3 linked regions of the Stegostoma tigrinum genome follow. The protein of the gene in region 2 interacts with the protein of the main gene of each other region in a pairwise test. Links are inferred from orthologs where the notes say so. Each region holds a gene or a part of one and is shown on either strand. Other genes may lie near its edges.

Region 1 (6,981 bases), on a different chromosome or scaffold from region 2:
GAGCTGTGTTGTAGAACATCAAAGAAACCCACAATTCCTTTATGCAAAAGTACATTTGGTTTTAGTCCATTGAGGTGCGAAGACTTAACTCTCCTCGACTACGCGTATTCTTAAGCAATAACAACGTAATCCGTATTATACACCCAAGAATACCCGTCACCGAAGAGAGTCTGAATAAATCTAGCAACATTTAGCCAATGCCAAAAATCCACACCCATTATCAACAAAGACGGCATCCAAAGAATGAATCTGAGTAGTCGTTCCCTCAGTACAGAGCAAGTCGAGTTTTCATCAGTGCCATTCTGCAAAGGGAAAATGAATAAAATGCATTTTGAAGTACGACCAGAATTGGCGACGATTTAGTGTACTTGATATCTGTCTCCAAATGTACGGCATTTGAAATTACAGCCTATCTGAAAAGGGTAGACTTCAAAAGCACTGAGTTAAGTAACTCACCTGTGTGATGCAGCGTAGCATTTGCAGAATAACGCGTAGCTGGTAGCATTCTTCGAATTTCGATTTTTCATTCTCAAAAGCAAATATTCCCCTGAACATTGAGTCGAAAAGACGCCCAGCAGCTAGGTTCCTGGGGTAGCAGGAGGGGAGGGTGGGGGTGATTGGTGGGAGGTTAAAACAAAGGACACATAATTTCATTCATTAGTTGTGAATCCCTTTATCTAATTATACATTGCCTTGAAAATAATTTGGAAGTGGGAGGAACAACTGTGCGTGGGTGGGTGACAGAAGTATTAAAAGTATTAATGGTAGGTGATGGGAGTATTGATTTGAAATATTTAAAGATAATCTTTACTAATCAACTGTGTAAAAATATACGATTCAGAAGTCATTTTAAGAAAGAGCAACAATAAGGACAGTTGTTCTCATCAATAGGTATGGACAGGCTGAAACAGGCTGAATCTCCAAGTGAATCAGCTAAAGAAACCCTTACAGGCCTCTACACAGAGATCCTTAACTAAATTACAATGAAGGGAAAGCAGAGAGACAGGAAAAAATTCAATATTTCCCTGAGCACCGTTACTACTATGATTCCTCTGTCGATGTTGGGTGATGGGGTAACTGAGAATACATCTTTTTGTTCAATGCATCACCACTCCCAAGCATGGTATTTCCTCCTTTTTTCAGCTTATGAAAGGGGTGGAACCCATAAAAAAGGACAGGCAAAAGCCTCTTTTTTATGGTTACTTAATCCTTATCACATTGTAATACCATCTTATGCCTATTGACTGACTGTGCCCAGCATCCTGAAATCTCCGTGACAGATGAGATTGGCACAAAAAAGAACAAAATCAACAATGAGTGGCTTGTGTTGAATACCGAATTTCATCACCGAATGAAGTAACTATTTTCACAGCATTTCGATTCCCCATTTCAATTCCTGACAGAATTTCGCCAGAGATTACAGAACACAATCGGGTGCATGTTCACCTAAAACCAGTTCTTTCTGCGAGGCTGCTGCCATTGGCAGTCTCCAAATTGATGTTTTGGGGAAAAAAATGCCAAAATCAGACGTTCAACTGTGAGAACGTACTGTTACCTTGGCGGCACCCACCACAGTAGACATACGAGGCTTTCATAATTGCAATAGCAAATACATCAGTGCAATACAGAAAAAAAATCAATTTATTTCGCGTAAATTTCCTAATACTCACAAGAATATCTGTAAAATAATGCCTTATGCTTGATAACCATGAGCAGGAGAACGGCAGAGTCCAGCCCAGCTAGTATTAATACGACATCCAGACTATGGAATGCGCATGTATTCGCATACTCGCCTGCCCAGCGTGCCAGCTTTTTTTTAAAAAAAATACTTAATTGCTTCCATATAAATTACAATGGCGAGACGATGCGCCTGACGAACTGGAGAGAAATGCTACCGAGACAGAGAACGAGCGAGCGAGAGTGAGTGAGAGAGAGAGAGTGAGAGAGAGAGAGAGAGAGAGAGAGAGAGGAACGTTTTCAGCACCACGGAGAGCTCATCTCTAACAGACGCAGGCAGCAGCGACACCGAACCACAGCGCAACAAAAGCTCTTGTGAATCGAAAGTGCACAAGGCGAACTACTTACTAGCACCATTTCCTATGAGACCACTGCCTCTGGGTGCATATTCATACCCCACCCCCCCCCACCCTCACACCCCACCCCACCCCCACCGCCCACCTTCAGGCTATGGTATTCCCAAAAAAAATGACTGTGCAGGGCGCAGGCAGTCAGGGCAACATGCTGTATATCCTGGGAGCCTTGAAATATCCCGCAGTACCAGCCGAGAGACATCATCTGCTAAATACCTTTGTTCATTGATTCCCACGTTGCATCTAGTCAAAATAGCACTGCAATTACCCTTCAATAATGCGATTAGCCATCACGAGCAGCTTGTTTTTTTTATTCACATTTCACTCGAAATGAACGTACCACAGCACAATGTCGGCGCCTTTCACTCATTCTCGCGACATAGTCGTGCATTTTGAACAGCCTATTGTCAAAGTCGTCTTATTTCGCAACGATCCAGAGAGATCCGGGGCGATGTGATTCCCACATTGGTCATTTCACACGTCCCTTTGCAGGGTAAACCAAACTGTGTGATTTGAACCAGTTTTGTTTTTAGAAAAAGAAACTAGATTTTAAAAGGAAATTTAAAGATATGTATTACACACACATTATATATATATATATATATATATATATCAGCCCGGTTAATGTACGCGCTGGATATTGCGAGGATGCATGGCTGGTAGGGGGTGGGAATCACTGCACAGTCAACCAGCAGAGGATTCAAAACAAAACTAAGCGAGGACGAAACTCCGTGTTGCCATTAACACTCCAAGGGTCTCTCTCTCTCTCTCTCTCTGAAGGCACGGGCTTACCTTTCTTTTCCACTGAAGGCTCAAATTCAATCTCCTCCGGGGTCGACATGCGCTACCGATGTGTTTCTCAACCTCCGTTACGAAGGTTGCATTCTGGATTTGTGGAGTGGGGAGTGGGGAGGGGAGGGGGAGGCTGTTGCGGGGTTTGACTGCAGCTCCCATCCACCCTCGAGTCGTAGGTTCTTTCCGACGTGGTTCCCTGTTTTGCTTTTTTTTTGTATTAGGCGTTTTGTAACGGCTCTCCGCTCCAGGGGCTACAAGACGGCTGAGATCTTTACAGACAGAGAGAGAGAGAGAGAAATCTAATCAAAGTGTTCCAATTACGACCAGTTGTCGCCTGTCACAACGCATAAATGTAACTCCGCAACACCACTCCCCCCACAGTAAAAAAACACAATCGTTGGGAACCAGATTTGGAAATGGTTTATTTGCCAGAGAGAGATCATTACATCTCGGTACCATTTAACATAATTTCGTGGATCCCAAACATGCTAATGGTCGATTACTTGAAGGAGATCTGACGTCCCCACTTCATAGTCTCTTATTCATGAGTTCCCAGTAGGAGATGATGAATACCTCTGGGACACTGTTCATATATATACAGCGCAGTGAACAGCAGCTCTGAATGGTTTCAGGATCAGGACCAGCCAGCATTGAACGCTGACATATGTTGACTGAAGTTTAATAATAATAAAAAACCAAGGGATTTTCTCATCAAAATTCGAACCCAGCCACGTCCTCTTATAGAGTTAGCATTGCTTTGAAACCTCGCCATATGCTGTTTATTTGCGTCGATTTTAGATTTCAAACCTGCCATTTTCACACTGGGTGCGAATAATGTGTTTTTTTTTACGGTGTTGGGATGTGAAATCGGTCACAGTTGTAATAAACCACCAGGTAGATTATCTGATCAGTATTAAACCGAAGCTCTTCCATCCTAAATGGTGTACCGCAAACGGGATTACTTTTTGTTTCTTTTGGCGGGGTGGGTAGAGGGGAGTAGTAGTGGACTGGTGCCGAGGATCTTACACTTTTGGTTCCAGGTACTGGAATGATTTGTAAGTTGAGATTTCGAATTTCTGGTTCTTGTCATCGCGTCTGAAAGGAGAAGGATACGCGTGTTAGTTATGCTGTAGCTTTATAACAGGGTGAAGTTCAACTCCCATTACTCATTTGCGATGTCTTTCCATTTATTTGTCAAAACCGAATATGTGCCAGTATGTCCTGCGTTCCATATGGCAAAGGATGTATTCAAGTCGGTTATTTTCACATGCGAACTTATTTAGCCAATAACCCTTAGATATTGGCCCAAAGGTCTAAATTGACTGGCTTTGTAAGCCATCAGACTCGATGCTGGATGCATTATTTATTTACTGAAGTGTGGAGGTGACACTTGCAAATTCCAGAGCAAAATTTCAAACTGACCGCAAAGAGGGGGAAAAAGAAATTGGCGTTTCCTGTATTGTTCGATTTCTACACAAAAGAATTATTACAGCCATGTGCCAACAGGTATTAACACTGTGGTTTGAAAATCTATCCACATGAATACTGCAGTATTTGTTCGTGTCTGTTTTACGACACCTAAAATCAACCAGACAGACTACTAATTAACATGGAGCTGATTCCGCCTGATTGGATGCGAGTTCTTTAAATTGTATACATAACTGGGGGTGGGTAAGGAGCCTTCGTTTAGAAAAGGGGCAGCGCAAATTTCAATCAATTGCAGTAGTTAAGGGTGGCCTCGCCACACCACCTCCTCTCTTTTGTATCCATGTCTGTTAAATATTCACTGGAAAGCTGTAAGCAATGACAATCTCTGTGTGTGTGTGTGTGTGTGTGTGTGTGTACAATCCCCCTGACATTGCAACTTCATCTGAAACCCCAGAGGAGCACTCTGCTCACTGCCAGCTGCTATGCCCCGTTCTTCACATCCAACCGAAGCTTCCCAGATCTGAGACTGACTGATCGGCCGACGCTGCCATTCAAACAAATCAGAGGCTGAGCGGAAGTTCGCCGCGTCTTTACTGTGTTGCCGCCGTTAACAGTGTAGTAAACAGTACACTTGGTGGTTCAGTTGAACTCCGGATCTTCAGATGTACTGGGCGACATATGAGCAGAAGCTGTCCTGCTCTAGCCCTTTATTAGATGTGGGCCAATATGCAACAGAGCCGCGTTAGTTTTGCGAGGCACCAGTCGTGTCGAACTATTGCCACCTGGAGGCCAGGTTTGTATCGCTCTACTACTCTATTGTTTTTCGCCTGATTGATTTTAGATGGGAACTCTGAAAACTCCAGCCCAAAAATGTACAGGCTGCTTTCAGCATATTTACCTCGGCCTCTCACAAATTTACTACATATTCTGCAGGGGAGGGATCATATGCTTATAAGTGGGTTAGCTTGGAAAACAGACCCACACCAACATCGTCCCCCCAGCCCCCACCACAACCTCTCGTCACCAGTTAGGTATTGCAAACTTTATTATTTTCTTCCTTGGATTAAGCCATTACAAAGACCCTATTACAGATGCTCATCCGCGTGTATACATTAAATGTAAGCAAAACACAAAATGCAAATTGTTTTCTTTTTACGGAGAATTACAGCGATATGCAGCTTCGTAAAACATTAAGACCTTTTTTGTTTAAAACGGATTGGACTTATTGCGTCTCAGTAAATTGTCATTTTGTCATATATTTTATACAATAGAATCCAGCCTACCAAAGTCATTTTGTTCATCACTCTTAGTGTCACCTTCCATTTTAGCCGACAATAGGGAGTGGCTTTGGTCATCTGAGCTTTGAGTGGACTTTATTGGTGGTACTGTCTCATTTATATTTTATAAAGGACATGCAACATTGTTTCCCAAAACGTTTCCGCTCCAATCAAGTTGGCGTCATGGTTCCTTTAGTAATCGGTCATTACCTTCGATCTAAGGAACAATCTTGATCGATAACATGTTAAAGATGGACTGGTTTGTTCAGGTCCATTGCAATTAGCATTAACACAGCAACAATCTGTATGAGCCTTTGGGGACAACATGTAAACTATTGAGAGTGAACAATCAGATCATCAAAATATTAGCTAGTGTATAAATTGTTCACTCTATCTACGCTTCTCGCACACTTTTGGTTTTACCACCTTTTTAAGTGTGAATAGATAAAACAGCTACATTAGAGAAGTGGACGAACAAAGTTATTTGTAGGTAACTGTAGAGTGTACAGAATTATCAAACAAACACGAGCACTTAGCTGTATCTGCATATATGTACCGTGATGAATCAGTTGAATCAAACAAAATTCGGGTTAAATATTTTATTGTAGATATTGCCAAATGTAAACAGTGTTCGTATTTACTAGCATATGTATTATACATATTACCTTAGAATTGTTAAGTGCGTTTATTACATGTTTAGAAAAACAAACTGGCAGACTAACTATAAACATTCACTGTCAGTGCGAGATGTAATAACAATTATTAACATAAACTAAACGCAATACATGTAAGGCGGGTTGTACCTCTTACACTAACATCTTATATGTTTTTAAAAAGCAGTCAATTATAGGCCCTCATGTTGCAGCTTGCACTTTCTTTGCTAATTTGCAGCAGTGTTATTTAAGGATAAAGTTATGAAGCAGCCAGACCGGGGAGTCCTCGTCACACGGATCGTGGGCGCCCCCTACTGCCCAGACACGAAGCCAAACACAAATAGATCTCCACCTTACAAGGACTTCAGACAGATCCACTTCCTCCCAAATTCCGAAGCCGAGTGGAAAAAAATGAAAGCATTACACATTCATTTCATTGGTCTAAATGTAGCGAGGTGATTTCGTGCTTTATGTTACATGGATCAAACAATATGAAATAAGTGCAAACATAATCTACAAGATAAACGGGTAAATTTATGTTTAAAATAAATACAGAAAAGATGATTGTAGTTAGCAAAGAAATTCTTTAATCGTAAAATATTGCTTAGTTGGGGAGTTACAACTTTCCATGTGTAAAATAGATCATTTGTGTAATGAATATTTACAAAGGAAATCAAAAATATAAAACGCAACTATATCTACATTGTCAGGGACTCATTACCAACTAAAATACAAAGA
Region 2 (7,605 bases):
TTTGAGGGGAAGAAAAGCATCTAGTTTTTCAGGTGTTGGAGAACCACCTTTATACTTTTAAAATTGATTGAGTTGTTTCTTTTCTGTACTGGAACCTATAACAAAATGGTTAGAACTACTCAGTATTTTCCACAAATTGCAGCTCAAACCGCATCTGATGATAAATTACTGAAGTTTTTAAACAATACATCGCTGTAGCAAAAAGAATCATTAATAAGTGATGCTGGTAAGGCCATCATTTATTGCTTACCCATAACTGCTCACAATTGTATTCCTGAACAGTTGCAGTATATTTGATGTAGGTACCTACCAGCTGTGTTAGAGAATGGAATTTGACCCAGCAACAGTCAAACACATATAATTTGAAGATAATAAAATGTGAGGCTGGATGAACACAGCAGGCCAAGCAGCATCTCAGGAGCACAAAAGCTGACGTTTCGGGCCTAGACCTTTCATCAGAGAGGGGGATGGGGAGAGGGAACTGGAATAAATATAATTTGAAGTCAGGATGGTGTTTCCATGCACTGCTACTTTCTAGGTTGTAGACGCTGAGGTTTTGTAAAGTACTGAAGAAGTTGCTTTAGCTTATTTTGTAGCTAGTACATACTGTTATCACTGCCCACGACTGGTGGAGGGTGTGAATATTTAACATTGTGGATAGAGTGCTGATTAAGCAGTTTTCACTGAGCTGGATGTTGCTGAAGATCTTGAGTGTTATTGGCGCTGCACTCATCCAGGAAAGTGGGCTGCATTTCAATATACTCCCACTTTGTGCACGGCAAATGTCGGGACAGAATGTGGGAGTCAGGTGATGAGGAAATTACCACAGAATTTCAGGCCTCTGACCTACACCCAGGAGCCACTGTATTTATATGGCTGGACAAGTTAAATCTTTGGAATTTGTTAATTAAAAATAACTAAATATTACCATTTGGGACATGGGTGTTGTTGCCTGAATTGCCTATTCCTAGTTGCTCTTGAGAAGATGGGTGTGAGCTGCCTTCTCGAACTGCTGCAGCCCATGTGCTATTAGCAGATCCACAATGCCGTTGAGAGGCTGTTGCTTGACTAATTCAAGAGACAACTTTGCCAATTTTCCCACTAATCCCCAGAAGTTAGCAAAAAGGACTTTGTAGGGTTGGCAGAGCTGAATTTGCCCATTGTCATTTCCAGTGTCTGGGTTCATGCCCGGTGATCTTTCCAGTTTCATTCCTTTATTGAGAGCTTCTAGCAGTTGGTACAACAGAACGGCTTGCGGGGCCATCAGATGGCAGTTAACAGTCAATCACATGTATGCCAGACCAGGTGAACTATGGCAATATTCTTAACTAAAAGATGTTTGTTAACATGTTAGGTTTTTGCACACCAACAATGGTCTTATGATCATTAGATGATTATTTTGCATTAAAATTTCACTAGCTGCCACGGTGGGATTTGAATCTTGTTACCCAGAACATTATCTGGATTCCTAGTTCAGTAACTATACCACTTGGCCACCACATTATCGTCAATCAATGGTCTGCTCCTTAACCAGTGTGCATATTACTCTTTCTTTTGATTTTAGAACCAATCTGTTCAGAAATGTTATGAAACTCCCCTACAGCAGACAGGACATGACCCAGGCCTCCTGGCTCACAGATAGGGAAACTACCACAATAACACTTACGCTACTTTTTCGAAAACTTGTAATAAGTTGGTTAAACGTTATTTTCCTTTTTAGACAACTATAAGAAATTTTGCTATTCAGTTCTATACATTGATATTAATATAGTCAGTATCAGAAAGGGATTGATCTAAACAGGTATTTCTATTGAGATATTAATGTTACTGTTTTGACATCAGTATAAGATTGATACCATGGAGGTGGATCTCTGTTGAGATATGATCAGTAATATACTGATCCCCAGTATATTAAAGGTTTATCATATACGGGCTAATCCAATTCTTTATTGAGATACTAATAATAGTTACTGCATTGATCCTCAGCAAGAGCAGAATTCAACGTGATCTCTAGTGAGCTATTTAATTAGCATATTGACCCTCAGAGAGTGGAGTGATCCAATTTGGAGAGAAGGTCTTTTATTTTAAATTCACTGACAGGATGTAGTCATCTTTGACTAAGCCAGCATTTACAGCCAAAAAGACTTTAGTGAACCAGATGAATTTTTCTGATGACTGCCAATGGTTTCATGGTCATCATTAGACCCTTAATTCAGGAGTTTATTTTTTCTCTGTGGTGCAATATTCAGTAAAAGGATAATCTAATGAGGGATTTCTATTAAGATATTAACAGTGACTTATGGGCCCGCAGCAAAGGTCTGATGCAATGAGAGATCTCTATAGAAACTGACACGAAGGAGATGGATGGACAATGCAAGGGGGTCTCAATTGCCATAGTAACATCACTATATTGATCCTCAGAGGCTGACCTAATGGACAAGATTATATTGAGATACAGTATTGATACTAGTGTACTGACTCACAGTATGGGGCTGATCCAATGTGGTGGACGGGGGCTATTGAGATATTCACACTAATCTGCAGATCCTCAGTAAGGGAGACGGGGTGGGCGGGGTTCTCTATTCCCACAGCAAACATTCAACCCCTGGGCTCACCTCCAGTTTATGGTTGATCTGGAAGACAGTCTGCGCCTTGTGACAAAGCTGCGCGAAGCAGGAGCTGAGCGCCGTCATCTTCTGGCGGCCCTCGTAGGTGATCTCGGACTGGTCGGGGTCGATCTCCCCCAGGAGCAGGTCCACATCCACGAAGGCCTTGTCAAACTCCTTCTCCAGCACCTCCAGCCAGCGGAACATGGAAGGGCCGGCTGCCGCTGCCGGCGGAGCCCCGGCCGAGGAGGCCATAGTTGACGCTGCAGGACGGGAGAGAAGGGAGCAGATGGCGGTTGGGGACTCCGACCCGCAGCCCTGTACCGTGTGCCCGGAGTTTCGTCTCTTTCTTCCTCTTCTTCCTCCTCCTCCTCCTCCGTGGACCGCGGCGCCGCCTCCGGTTCCGGTTGTCAAGGAGCCCACTCTCGATTGCTCGCGCCTGCCACAACAGTAGAAGGCCGAGCGAGTGGAGCGAGGAACGGTCGTTCGAACCGTCACCATGGAGAAAGGGGGCAGAGCCAGAACGCGCGGCAGAAACCCCGCCCACGGCCCGCACGCGCACCCACTCACACACACCCCCGCCGCCCCGCAACAGCAACAACTTGAATTTATATGGCGCCTTGAACACAACTCGCCTCTTCCTGTTGTACAGTGTAAAATATGACGAAGCGCCCCGTCCAGGAGCTTTTGAACCAAAACTTAGAAGTGCAACAGAACACTGCGGATGCACAAGATCTGAAACCAAAGCAGAAATTGCTGAAGAAACTCACCAGGGCTGGCAGCATCTGTGGAGAGAAAGCGACATCTGATCTATTACTGAGTTTCTTCTTCAATTTCTTATTTTGAACGAAAACATTGGCCAGAAGTCGCTTCCAAGGCGCATTTCGAAGAAGAGAAATGAGGTGGGAAGGCAGAGAATTTTATGGAATATTTTCAGAAATTGGGACTAAATTGCTAGTGCAGCCACTGGTGGTGGAGTGTTTAATGTCTGGGAATCTGAATTGGAAGAAGTCAGGTGATCAGAGGACAAGTCAGAGTACAGAAAGGAGATAGAGGGCTTGGTGATTTGGTGCATTGAAAACAACCTCTCACTCAACTTCAGCAAAACTAAAGAACTGATCATTGATTTCAGAAAGAAGGATGAAGAACACGCCCCCATCTCCATCAGCAGAGCTGAGGTTGAGAGGATGAGGCTGTCAAGTTTCTAGGAGTGACAATAACCGACAACCTGTCCTAGATATCCCACATAAATGCAACAGTCAGGGAGGCACAGTAAAGCCTCTCCTTCCTCAGCCAGTCAGGAAATTTGACATGTTCACAAGGTCTCTTATAAGCTCCTCCTTCAGGCAGAAGATACAGTAGCTTGTACACACACCAGCAAGTTCAAGAACAGCTTCTTCCCTGCCATTATTAGACTGATGAATGGACTCTCTAACTTCAAATAATGCTGCTTTGCTAATGTTGATCTTGACCCTAGCACACACCCTGTGCAATGCAACTTGTATGAATCTGTCTAGTTTTGTTTTTCTCCCTACAATCTGTATGTCCTTGCTTACTATGATCTGCCTGTACTGCTCATAAACAATGCTTTTCACTGTACTTAGCTACACTTGACAATAAATCAATCAAATCAGATCAGAGGGTTGTGGGACTGGAGGAGATGAAGAATATAGGGTGAAAAGAGGACATGAATGGGCTTTGATGTTGATGAGTACATGGGCAGTGCAGTGTTGGATAAGTTCAGGTTCACAAAGGGTAGAACACTCTTTGAGAGCAGAACAAGGAGAACTCTGGCATAGTCAAATTTGGAGGGAACAATGACTTGGATGAGTTTCAAAAGCACAACAAATGAAACAGTGTCAGAATTGTATGATGTTACAGAGGTTGACATTGGATGCATTAATGATACTGTGAATATGTGGCCAGAAGCTCCCCTCGGGGTCATATATAACACCAATATTGGGAACAGTCTAGTTTAGTGTCATACAGATGCCAGGGAGAAGGATGGCATTGGCAGCTAGGGATCAGATTGGAGTATAGATTGAATTTTTCAATCTTTGCAATATTTATTTGGAGAAATTTTCTGCTTATCCAGTGGTGGGTATTTGTTAAGCAGTTTGCTAATTTCACAACAGCAGAAAATGTTCACAAGACCTGGCTTAATAATGTCCAGTCATTCAGAGAAGAGCAGTTTAAAGGAACAGGAGTAGTCTATTCAGCCCCTCAAGCCTGTCTCACCATTCAATGAAATCAGGGCTGATTTATGGCCTAACCCCATAGACCTGCCTTTGGTATTATAGCTGGCTTTGTTTAACAAAAGAACCCTCAACTTTAAAAGAAACAATGGATCTAGCATCAACTGCCTTGTTTGAAAGAGCATTCCAAACATCTTCCACCCTTCTGGATGTAAGTTTGCTCGCTGAGCTGGAAGGTTTGTTTTCAGATGTTTCGTCACCATTCTAGGTAACATCATCAGTGAGCCTCCGGTGAAGCGCTGGCGTTATGTCCCGCTTTCTATTTATCTGTTTAGGTTTCCTTGGGTTGGTGATCACATCCAGAACCTCAACCTGAGCTACAAATCTTCTCAAAACTCGCTATCTACCACCCTTGTATATGCTTCCTAATACTTTTTTGAATGGTCTGGCCCTAACTTTTAGACTATATCCCCCAGTTCTAGAATCCCCAACCAATGGAAACAGATTATCTTTATCTACACTGTCGTTTCCTGTTAATATCTTGAAAATGATAATCAGATCACCCATTAATTTTCTAAATTCTAGAGAAAACAGGCCTAACCTGCATAGTAATTTAGCCCTTGAAGTCAAGTAGTCATTCATGTTTTACTCCCTCCAAGGCTAATAATAAATCCTTTCTCTAAGGTAGGTCGCATAGATATATCGACAATATTCCAACTGGGGTCTAACCAGCTAACAAAATGTGGAGGCATGAGGGGAACTGCAGATGCTGGAGAATCCAAGATAACCAAGTGTGAAGCTGGATGAACACAGCAGGCCAAGCAGCATCTCAGGAGCACAAAAGCTGACGTTTCGGGCCTAGACCCTTCATCGGAGACACTGATGAAGGGTCTAGGCCCGAAACATCAGCTTTTGTGCTCCGGAGATGCTGCTTGGCCTGCTGTGTTCATCCAGCTTCACACTTGGTTATCTAACAAAGTGTGGAGCTGGATGAACACAGCAGGCCAAGCAGCATCCTAGGAGCACAAAAGTTGACGTTTCGGGCCTAGACTCTTCATCAGAAAAGGGGGATGGGGAGAGGACTCTGAAATAACTAGGGAGAGAGGGGGAGGCGGACTGGAGATGGATAGAGCAGAAGATAGGTGGAGAGGAGAGTACGGGTGGGGAGGTAGGGAGGTGATAGGTCAGTCCAGGGAGGACGGATAGGTCAAGGGGGCAGGATGAGGTTAGTAGGTAGGAAATTGAGGTGGGAGGAGGGGATAGGTGAGAGGAAGAACAGGTTAGGCAGGCTGCGACCAGCTGGGCTGGTTTTGGGATGCAGTGGGGGGAGGGGAGATTTTGAAGCTGGTGAAATCCACATTGATACTATTGGGCAGAGTTTTATGTAGCCGCAGCAGAATGTCTGCCTCCTTATACTCTTAGTCCTCTAAATATTAAAGGCCAGCATTCTATTAACCTTTCTGATCATTTTCTCCATCTGTCTCTGGCTTTTTAAAGATCAATGCACCTGAACCCCCAAGTCATCTTCTTCATTACCTTAAAAATTTCAGTAAGGTTTGTTAGATATGACTACCTGTCATGACTTCATGTGGACTCTCCTTGATTAATTAAAAAGTTTGAGGTGTTCAATCACCTTATCCATAATTGCAGACTCCAGCAATTTCGCCACCACAGATGTTAGGCTAACTGATGTGCAATTCCTGGTTTCCTCGTTTGTCGTTCTTAAGCAGCAGAGTGACATGTGAAATTTTCCAATCCAGAGGGACACCCCATTATCTAGGGAACTCTGAAAATTTGACAGTCTGACTTGTGTCAGCGATGGATCTTTATTTAAATGTCACATTTCATATCTAGGGAAGAAAAATTTTGAACAGAAGGCCATTAAGCTATGAGGTGCTTCGCCAAATGGCTACTGATGGACAGCTCCGAATGTCATGGAAAAAGATAATGAATCAGTGTTGAAAAGTGGGTACAGAACACAGTCTGGGAAGACTGAGTTTACATAAGATACAAGAATCAGGGGTCAAATGACCTCCTGCAAGATAGTTTTAATCATCCTACAAAACCATTCCTTGATATAGAGTCCAGATCTATAGTGGTTAACAAATATTGGCTTTGAACTTCGATTGATATGTTCTGTAAGACATTTCCCACACACTGAGCTGATGCCTGTTTTGTAGGTTATTGATTTAATTCAGATTTGTTGTTCCCGAATGGTTTTGTTTCGTTAAGTCCAAGAATATATTGGGTGTAATTGATGATCCCAATTCAAATTTGCCATATTTACAGAGAGTATCAGTGCAAACTCACGTGCAAAATGTTAGGGAGATAGGTCAATGTATATTCCTGCAGAATTGTTGGAGATTTAACTTTTAACTGCACTTAAACCAAGAATCCATCGTTGATTGTCAGAAAAACCTACGTGGTTCACTTAGGGAGGAAAACTGACATTCTTACCTGGCCTGGTCAATGTAACTCCATGGGGGATTATGGATAGTCAATAAATGCTGGCCTAGGCAGCAATGTCCTCATCCTGTGAATGAATGAATAAAATATATTGAAATATTTAGTTTTAAAGTAGAAATATATCTGGGATTGTAAGACACTATTTTTAAGGAAAATAATTAATAGCAATGTAAATACTTTTTTAACTGAAATAATTCAATGGCTTCACATATCTAGATGTTGCTTTCTCTGGTATAGAAATTTTTTTCAGCAATCTGGCCTTGGTGAGAGTAAACAATGGTGTTACTAACAATCATTCTACTTTCATTGTCCTGTTCATGGATTATGTGTTGTTTTGC
Region 3 (7,436 bases), on a different chromosome or scaffold from region 2:
CGGCTCTATTCTTTGCTTGTATCACCAATCTGGTCAAACGGCAAAGAGTAGGGTGATATCCAGCATTTGCTTGAGAAGACCTTATCACTCCCTGAGCTGTATTGGAATCTTATAGGGGATCCAGACTCCAAGTTAGATCACCCACAGTGCTGGTGCTGGGAGGTAGCAACTGAAGCAACAAGGTTCATTGACCAAATGAATCTTAGAGACCTGACTGACCTGAACACTATTGTGGGTGATCTCACTCTCATGTGCAAAGCTAACATTCCACTGAATCTTAGCTTGAATGTCATTGGGAATCTGGGTCTGAACATTGTCCTTTGCTTGTGGCTTGGTGTCAGCCACTGCAACTTCAACTGGGCAGAGGGCGAGTTCCCTCCTGTAGTCAGCCTACAGGCTAAGGGCATCTGCATTTGCATTACTTTGCCTGACCTGTAGTCTGCCTTCAGACTAAGGGCATTACCACTTACATGACCTGTACAGAATCTTGAAGCAAAACCCAATGTATTCAGTGACCCAATGAAACTCCAAGCTTGGTGGATGATTGAAAGTAGCTGAGTGGATTGCTGTTGGCAAATGCTTCAAGCTCAGGATCCACCAAAATGTTTCTGAATGGCTGGGAAAAAGTCTACCTTAAAGCTTGCAGTTTGAGTTCATGCTGGAGTAACACTCCATATTGAGATTCCAACAAATATAAGTTACAGTCACTCTTTCTTGCCCTTGAATCTGTGACAACACCATTCCTGAGCCAAATAATCTTAAATCAGTTTCCATATGAAAGGGAGATTGAAATCTGGGAAGCTAAGGACTTCACCTGTTCTGGTCCAACTCCCTGCGATGCTCCACAAAGTATCCCACCTCGCACATCCTTTTCCAAACAGTCCTTCAGTATTCTTTCATTTTCTCAGCATATCATAGTGTGAGGCAGCCAACTGTGATTAGCCTTGCACAAGCCTCCTATAATATCCCATTAGACAAAGGAACCCCATAGAGTGCACTCCCAGTCGTAGGCTAGAGCACCTCTACAATCATCAATGATGCCTTCCTTGGTAATGAAGCGCCCAAGGGATCATTCTTTTGTCTGGAAAAGTTGACACTTGTCTAGTTTGATTTTTAAGTTAAAACTGTGCGAAGTGGGCTGTGATAAAGCCTGGTCTTACAAAACTAAACTCAAATATTGAATTAAAGATGAATCCTGTAGACACATGGGGAGGAATTGGAAATTAAGGCTGCTGAAAGCTTTAACTGTCACATGGATGAAGGTGGTAGCTGAAATTCAGAGCCCAAATGACATTTTTGAAGCCTTTGGTTTATATTAGGTCGTGGAATTATTTGATCTTTCGCACTTCTCCCTGTGCGTCCTATTTCCCCCAAAACATCCTTTTTCAAGAAATGGTCCGTTTGACTGCTCCAGCTGCCCTCCCTCACCATCATCACCTGCTGCCAGAGTCCTGGCACACTTGCTTGAGCTCCTGTCCTCAGTGCCCTCTCTCACCATCACCATTTGCTGCTGGAAGTTCTGTTACTATGTGAATACCATCACCTCCAGCTTCCCTGGCATTTTCCCTGACTTGATCACTTACTACTGTTCCCTACTTATGTGTGAATCAGATACCTAGAATTCTCTAAATAAAAACCGAAAGAATTGCGGATGATGTAAATCAGGAACAAAAACAAAGGTCTGCAGGTCTGGCAGCATCTGTGAAGTAAAAAACAGAGTTAATATTTTGGGTCCAGTGGTCCTCCCTCAGAAGGCTCTGGCAAAGGGTCACCGGTTGCAAAATGTTAACTCTGATTTTCTCTTCACAGATGCTGCCAGACCTGCTGAGCTTTTCCAGCAACTTTGTTTTTGTACCTAGAATTCTCTATCCAACATTATTGTGTGAGTACCATCATCAGAAGAACTGTAGTAGATCAAGGACTGGACCCACAAATACCATAATGGAATGGACAACAAATGTAGTTTTTCTAGTGCTGTTCACATCCCAACAACAAACAACTGAAAAGGACATTAACTTCTTATAAATCTCAGATATTTTATTTTTATTGTGCAATTTAATTCTCTCTAGTCTATTGTCTTGTTATTTATGATTCTGCCCTCGTTATTCTTCCCTTAACTGTAGCAATTGATATATAACACACAAGCAATTCTCTCTATATCCGATAAAGATATTTGTATTTCATGATTAAAAAACAATCTTATTTCTGACCTTTGCAATGAGCTTACAACTCCATACGTTGTGTTATTAGTTTCTTCTATTCAATTTGTAGCTTTCTGCTTGTGACCTCCATTCTCCCTGACTTCCACAGAGTGTAACCACTGACATAAATAGCAAGACTCACTTATAAAAATAATTGACAACGGTCCCTGATCTGAAGATTTCTGTTGACAGAAAACTTCAGTACCACCCCCAATCCTCAGCAGCAGTTCCTGGGCCTTTAAGGTTTTGCTGCAGTGCTGTAGAATCAAAGACTTCAGATGTCTGTGTCAACTGTGTGTTTTCTGGTTCATGGTGCCTGTACAGAATGTTGTCATTAGGTGGCTTGTTAAAAAGCAGTCATTTTCCAGCATGTTTTGAACAAAGCAAAGTCAGAGGAGACTTGAGCTTTTCAAGAAGTTTAATTTTCTCTCTCAAATATGATATACTATAGTTAATTCTCTGCAACATTGGGAAGTTGGTGTCAAAAATATGTGTGATTCAGATATGAGCCTTAGCGCAGTTGTGACTCAGCCTGTAGTTTATAAATAGTGGAAAAGAATAGTTAGAATGTGGAACCTGCTACCATATGGGATGGTTGAATTGAATAGCTTAGATGCCTTTAAAGGAAATTAGATAAGTTCTCGAGTGAGGGAGAAGTGGAAAGATAGGCAGATAAGGTCAGATGAAATAGACTGAGGAGGCACATATCAAACACAAACATGCCAACTAGAATGAAAAGCCTGCTGCAGCACTGTAAATTGGGTAACCTACAGGGAAAACTGGAGAATTCAATGAAAAATCCACCTTCAATGTAAATACAGTGGGAAAGGTAGGGACAGACAGGAAAAAAAAGCAATTTAAGGCAGGTCAGATTTACGAAAGGTAACTGAGTTTAGTGGGCAAGCATGGCGCAAGGCAAAATGGCAATTAGGAAGTTAATTTGAGGTGAAGCATCAGCTACTTGCATGAGTGGAAGATAAACATTTTGGCTTGTATTGGCATTATGGGGGACATTTTGTTCTTGAGTGTAGCACAGTTAAATAAGGTAGCACACCGTGCAACTAATGAATGGAAATTTCAATCATGCTCAGAAGTGTTTTATACAAATGGTGATCAACAATAAGATTAATCTCTGATAATAAAGTGTGAAGCTGGATGAACACAGCAGGCCAAACAGCATCTCAGGAGCACAAAAGCTGACGTTTCGGGCCTAGACCATTCATCAGAGCTCTCCGATGAAGAGTCTAGGCCCGAAACGTCAGCTTTTGTGCTCCTGAGATGCTGCTTGGCCTGCTGTGTTCATTCCAGCTTCACACTTTATTATCTTGGATTCTCCAGCATCTGCAGTTCCCATTATCTCTGATACAAGATTAATCTCTGATTTCGGCTGTGGAATGTCGGTAGCTGTGTTGTTCGGATCAATGGCCTCTCGATGACCTAGGAGAGACTGATTGTAGCTTCCTGCTCCCTGAATTAAACTGGGAGGCAGTGGGTGCCACAATCAGACTACGTGGCTCTCAGTTTGACGGGATGCTCATGAAGTGCAGGCCTGCGAAGTGAAGGGAAAATTGGAAGGAGAGCAGTCCTCCTGACCGCTTCCATGCCTTCCAATTTTAGGGTTGACATTAGGGTTTAGCAGGCGATTTACCGAGTGAATGAAGAATGGTGCTGACTATACGACACATAACACGCGTATACCCCAGTGGAAAACATCCTAAGGCGGAATTTCCTTGTTTGAAATGCATCCTGCAATTGCTGTGACGTTGTGTTAAAAGTAACATGATCACTTCACAACAACAGAAAAGGGGAGGGGGCGGTGAATGATATGAAAGATAGTTATATCTCTGGCGAGCCTTTTGTCTGCAGGAAGGTATCTTACAAGTGGGTGTTCTAGCTTTATAGGCAGTGTCGCTGTGACTCTTGTTTTAAATCTCAGCGCTGCTCGGAATGGATGAGGTCACTTTCTTGTCACATGATATCTGCAGCAGTGATACAATGACTCTCCCTCTCGGTTTGTGCTATGGGAAGCACTCGCCCTAGTACTCTCGACATTGGCTGGGGCCGGTCGATGAGGGCCGCCGGCTGGCCGAGCGAGCTGTCAATCAGCCGCTATCCCCACCCACCCGCCCCCTCGGCCAGGCGAAGTTCGGGGCTGCTTGTACAATGCAGCTGGAGTGTGGCTACTGGCCAGGAGAGGGGCTGGAAAGGAGACACACTTAACACATACATAGAAAGAGGAGCCAGGCACGCAGTGGGAAAAGTGACTGAAGGGGAAAGGCACAGAGTTTTTTTTAAAAAAAAGAATTGCCATTCACCTCCGCCTGCTGCATGGGGAAGGGAATCCAGATGTGGAAAAACTCTCGTGTTTGAACCTAACTGAGAGTGTGGGCAGCGAGGAATTTGTGCATGTTGTCAGAGAGCTCGTCCTCCTGACACATCCAGATCCGTCGGAGAGGAAAGTCGCCGCCAGTTTTCCTGTTAAAATTAAAAGCTTTTGTTTTTAGCTGTTTTGCTTTTTGTTCACGGGTTGGGCGGGGGGGAGGTGTGAGGTGTGGAATGCATTTGTTTGAGAAGCACAGAACAGGCTGAACATGTGGAAAATGGCACCTTTGCCATGCCCTGGTGGGAAGGTGTTGCTGAGGCAATGAAGCTGCCGCACCATGGCCAATGGAACAGGTCCGAGGAGTATGCTGAAGTGCGTGGTGATCGGAGATGGAGCGGTGGGCAAAACTTGTTTGCTGATGAGCTACGCGAACGATGCTTTTCCAGAGGAATATGTGCCCACTGTGTTCGACCATTACGCGGGTAACTATTTTCTTTAGAAATGTCTAGCTACATTTCTTGTAAAAAAAGGTGTAACTTTTAATTCGTCTTTTTTTTGTTTCCGAGTTCATCCCAGCTCTTAAAGCTTGAACGCGAACTTTTTGGGAAAGTTTCAATAAAGTTTCACTGTCTGGCCATAGTCTTTCAATCAGACGTCTGTCTTTTGGATGCATGTTCCATCCGCTATTAATTAGAAACATTCGCTACATTACTGTGCCAATTACTGTAGTATTTCCATATAACTAGTAATATATGTATCCTTTTCCTGTTTGACCAGTCACTGTCACCGTGGGAGGTAAACAGTATCTTCTTGGACTTTATGATACTGCAGGACAGGTGAGATTTTAAAAATAAAAACAAACGTTCTGTTCTTATCTATGTTGGATGATGTGTCTTTTAGTGTAGGGAAGTTTAGCAATCTCTAATAACTATCTTATGACAGAATGTGACACATGACTTATTTTCTTAGTCTGAGTGAAAATGTCTGTTTCTGTTTTATTTGAGCTGATTTCCCTGGGGAAGGTTTTTAAAGTTGGGATGGCTCTTTTATGTCAATGTCCCAAACACAGTTGGAAAGGAATGGCAAGCTCACAGCATTGGCCGACTCTACTGCCCAAACCACTGCACCATTCTCCCCCCCCCAACCCCCCCTAGCAATTTGTGGTGAGGAAGAAATAGACCATGAGTTGTGAATGACTGTTCACTTTGCAAAACTGAAACTCCCCATCAAACCGCCTTGTGTCAGTGTTGTGAAATTGCTGGATTTGTTCCATAGACACAAATTGAACTCCCCACAGCCAGTTATTGCTGCTATTTCACACCATAAGGATATTTTGTGAACAAGATGTGTGTTTCTGCAATTCAAATTCAAGTATTTAGGGTCAGAAAAGAGACAATCGAAAACTTGGGGAGTCTCACCCCCATAATTAGTAAATTGTTCTAAGAGTTTGTTGCTTTGAAATGTTCCTTCTTGCGTTTTCTTAATAAAATCTTACTAGTTTTCTCTCTGTGTAATTTAACTCATAATTTACCTTATTTCCTTCTCTATCCTTGGCTTTATTTATTTTTCTATTGATAAATTTCAGTGGATAAGGAGATAGACTATTGACCCCATCATTCACCGACTCTCCAGATGTCCCATTTGCACTTTCAGCTCTTTGGTGCTCAAGAATGTTTTGAGCTGAAGTTGAGGAAAAATACCCTTTTGATAATCAGGGTAGCTTTTATTTTCAAATTGTCGTTTGCCAAAGAAATGCCAAGAAAGTTGGATGATCATGATGGCAGCACATTAAGTCAGAAAGATATTAGGATTTTATAAATGTACATTTTTGGATTTGAGTTTCTTGTTAATTTGTGCAAATAAACCTTTTTGTTTTACTTTGTATGAGCCAGGTTATGCTATGGATAGGTATTAGTATTTGTCAGCTACTGAGTTCAAATTAATAGATAAATGCTTTGGGTAAAAAGGTAAGTTTTTATATGGGGGTGGGAGGAAGAATTGTAAATTTTGAAAATTGCACAAGGAATTTGTGCTGCATGGACACTTGCTGGAGATTAAATCATTCAATCAAATAAATGACCATGTGAGCTTTTATATAGTCAAAGAACTTTAAAAAAATCAGATATCTAATATTTTCCCTGGTATTGTTCAACCTGAGATCAATGACCAGTATGCTCCAGCTGTGTTTTTACTGTTTCCATATTTGCTGTGAATGTGGACAATTTTCCCCTTTTTATGTACAATTTCTTAAATTATCCAATATTTATTGGAAATGTTAGTGCTTCTAATCTATGTACATTCAAATTGAGACTTTTTAAAATGAAGAATACAGTCTGCAAAAATGTAACCTTAAAGTAAATGCAGCTGCCTGCTACCTGTAACATGTAATTGTTACAGTACAAACAGGCATAGTTATATTTTTAGCAGGTAATGCCAAGTTAGTTGTTCAGTTGCTCAAGAAATTGGTTCTATTAAACTTCTGATTATGCTCATTTTAATTGGCATAATTCTTCATTAATTCTCCTAAACATGGCCTTTTCAAATTTAAAACATTGCATTTTATTTGGGTGGAAAGTTTAATACTTCCTTGAGTTATCAGCAGTACTTGATTAGTATTGTAAAGAACATTTTTTCAAAACAAATAAATTTGAAGGTGGTAATAGTGAAGTCTGCAGCTCTAGACCCATCATGTTTTGGTCTTCATTTGTGACACATGGACTTGTGTTGGCTATTCTAGTGACTTTGGTCAGTTTATATGCTCAGAAACTGTGGGAGTCCGTGTATGACTTTACCCCTTGCAATCATTCATGAAGGAAGACTGGATCCACTTGTGATTCAAAGTTTGACAACCTGCACTTTAAAATACTACATTTTAAGCAGACTGCCTGAACAATACAATACAATTAGATTAG

What was found. The genes of interacting proteins can lie anywhere in the genome.
Region 1: the proteins of gopc (region 2) and dpyda.1 interact in a two-hybrid assay, tested with the Homo sapiens proteins (2 studies listed by BioGRID and IntAct). The link is inferred for Stegostoma tigrinum from reciprocal best matches to the Homo sapiens genes GOPC and DPYD.
Region 3: the proteins of gopc (region 2) and rhoq interact in a two-hybrid assay, tested with the Homo sapiens proteins (2 studies listed by BioGRID). The link is inferred for Stegostoma tigrinum from reciprocal best matches to the Homo sapiens genes GOPC and RHOQ.

What each region holds. Positions count from the first base shown.
Region 1 is NC_081361.1:81,750,455-81,757,435, reverse strand, and holds the start of dpyda.1 (dihydropyrimidine dehydrogenase a, tandem duplicate 1), read right to left. Parts: upstream 3,110-6,981; 5' UTR 2,883-3,109; intron 2,537-2,882; exon of another isoform or gene 2,431-2,536; intron 2,423-2,430; exon of another isoform or gene 2,307-2,422; intron 1,996-2,306; exon of another isoform or gene 1,671-1,995; intron 587-1,670; 5' UTR 556-586; coding exon 457-555; intron 1-456.
Region 2 is NC_081357.1:61,385,875-61,393,479, forward strand, and holds the start of gopc (Golgi-associated PDZ and coiled-coil motif-containing protein), read right to left. Parts: upstream 3,110-7,605; 5' UTR 3,108-3,109; coding exon 2,616-3,107; intron 1-2,615.
Region 3 is NC_081362.1:68,547,825-68,555,260, reverse strand, and holds the start of rhoq (rho-related GTP-binding protein RhoQ), read left to right. Parts: upstream 1-4,327; 5' UTR 4,328-4,861; coding exon 4,862-5,006; intron 5,007-5,301; coding exon 5,302-5,360; intron 5,361-7,436. UniProt on the Homo sapiens protein: Plasma membrane-associated small GTPase which cycles between an active GTP-bound and an inactive GDP-bound state. In active state binds to a variety of effector proteins to regulate cellular responses. Involved in epithelial cell polarization processes.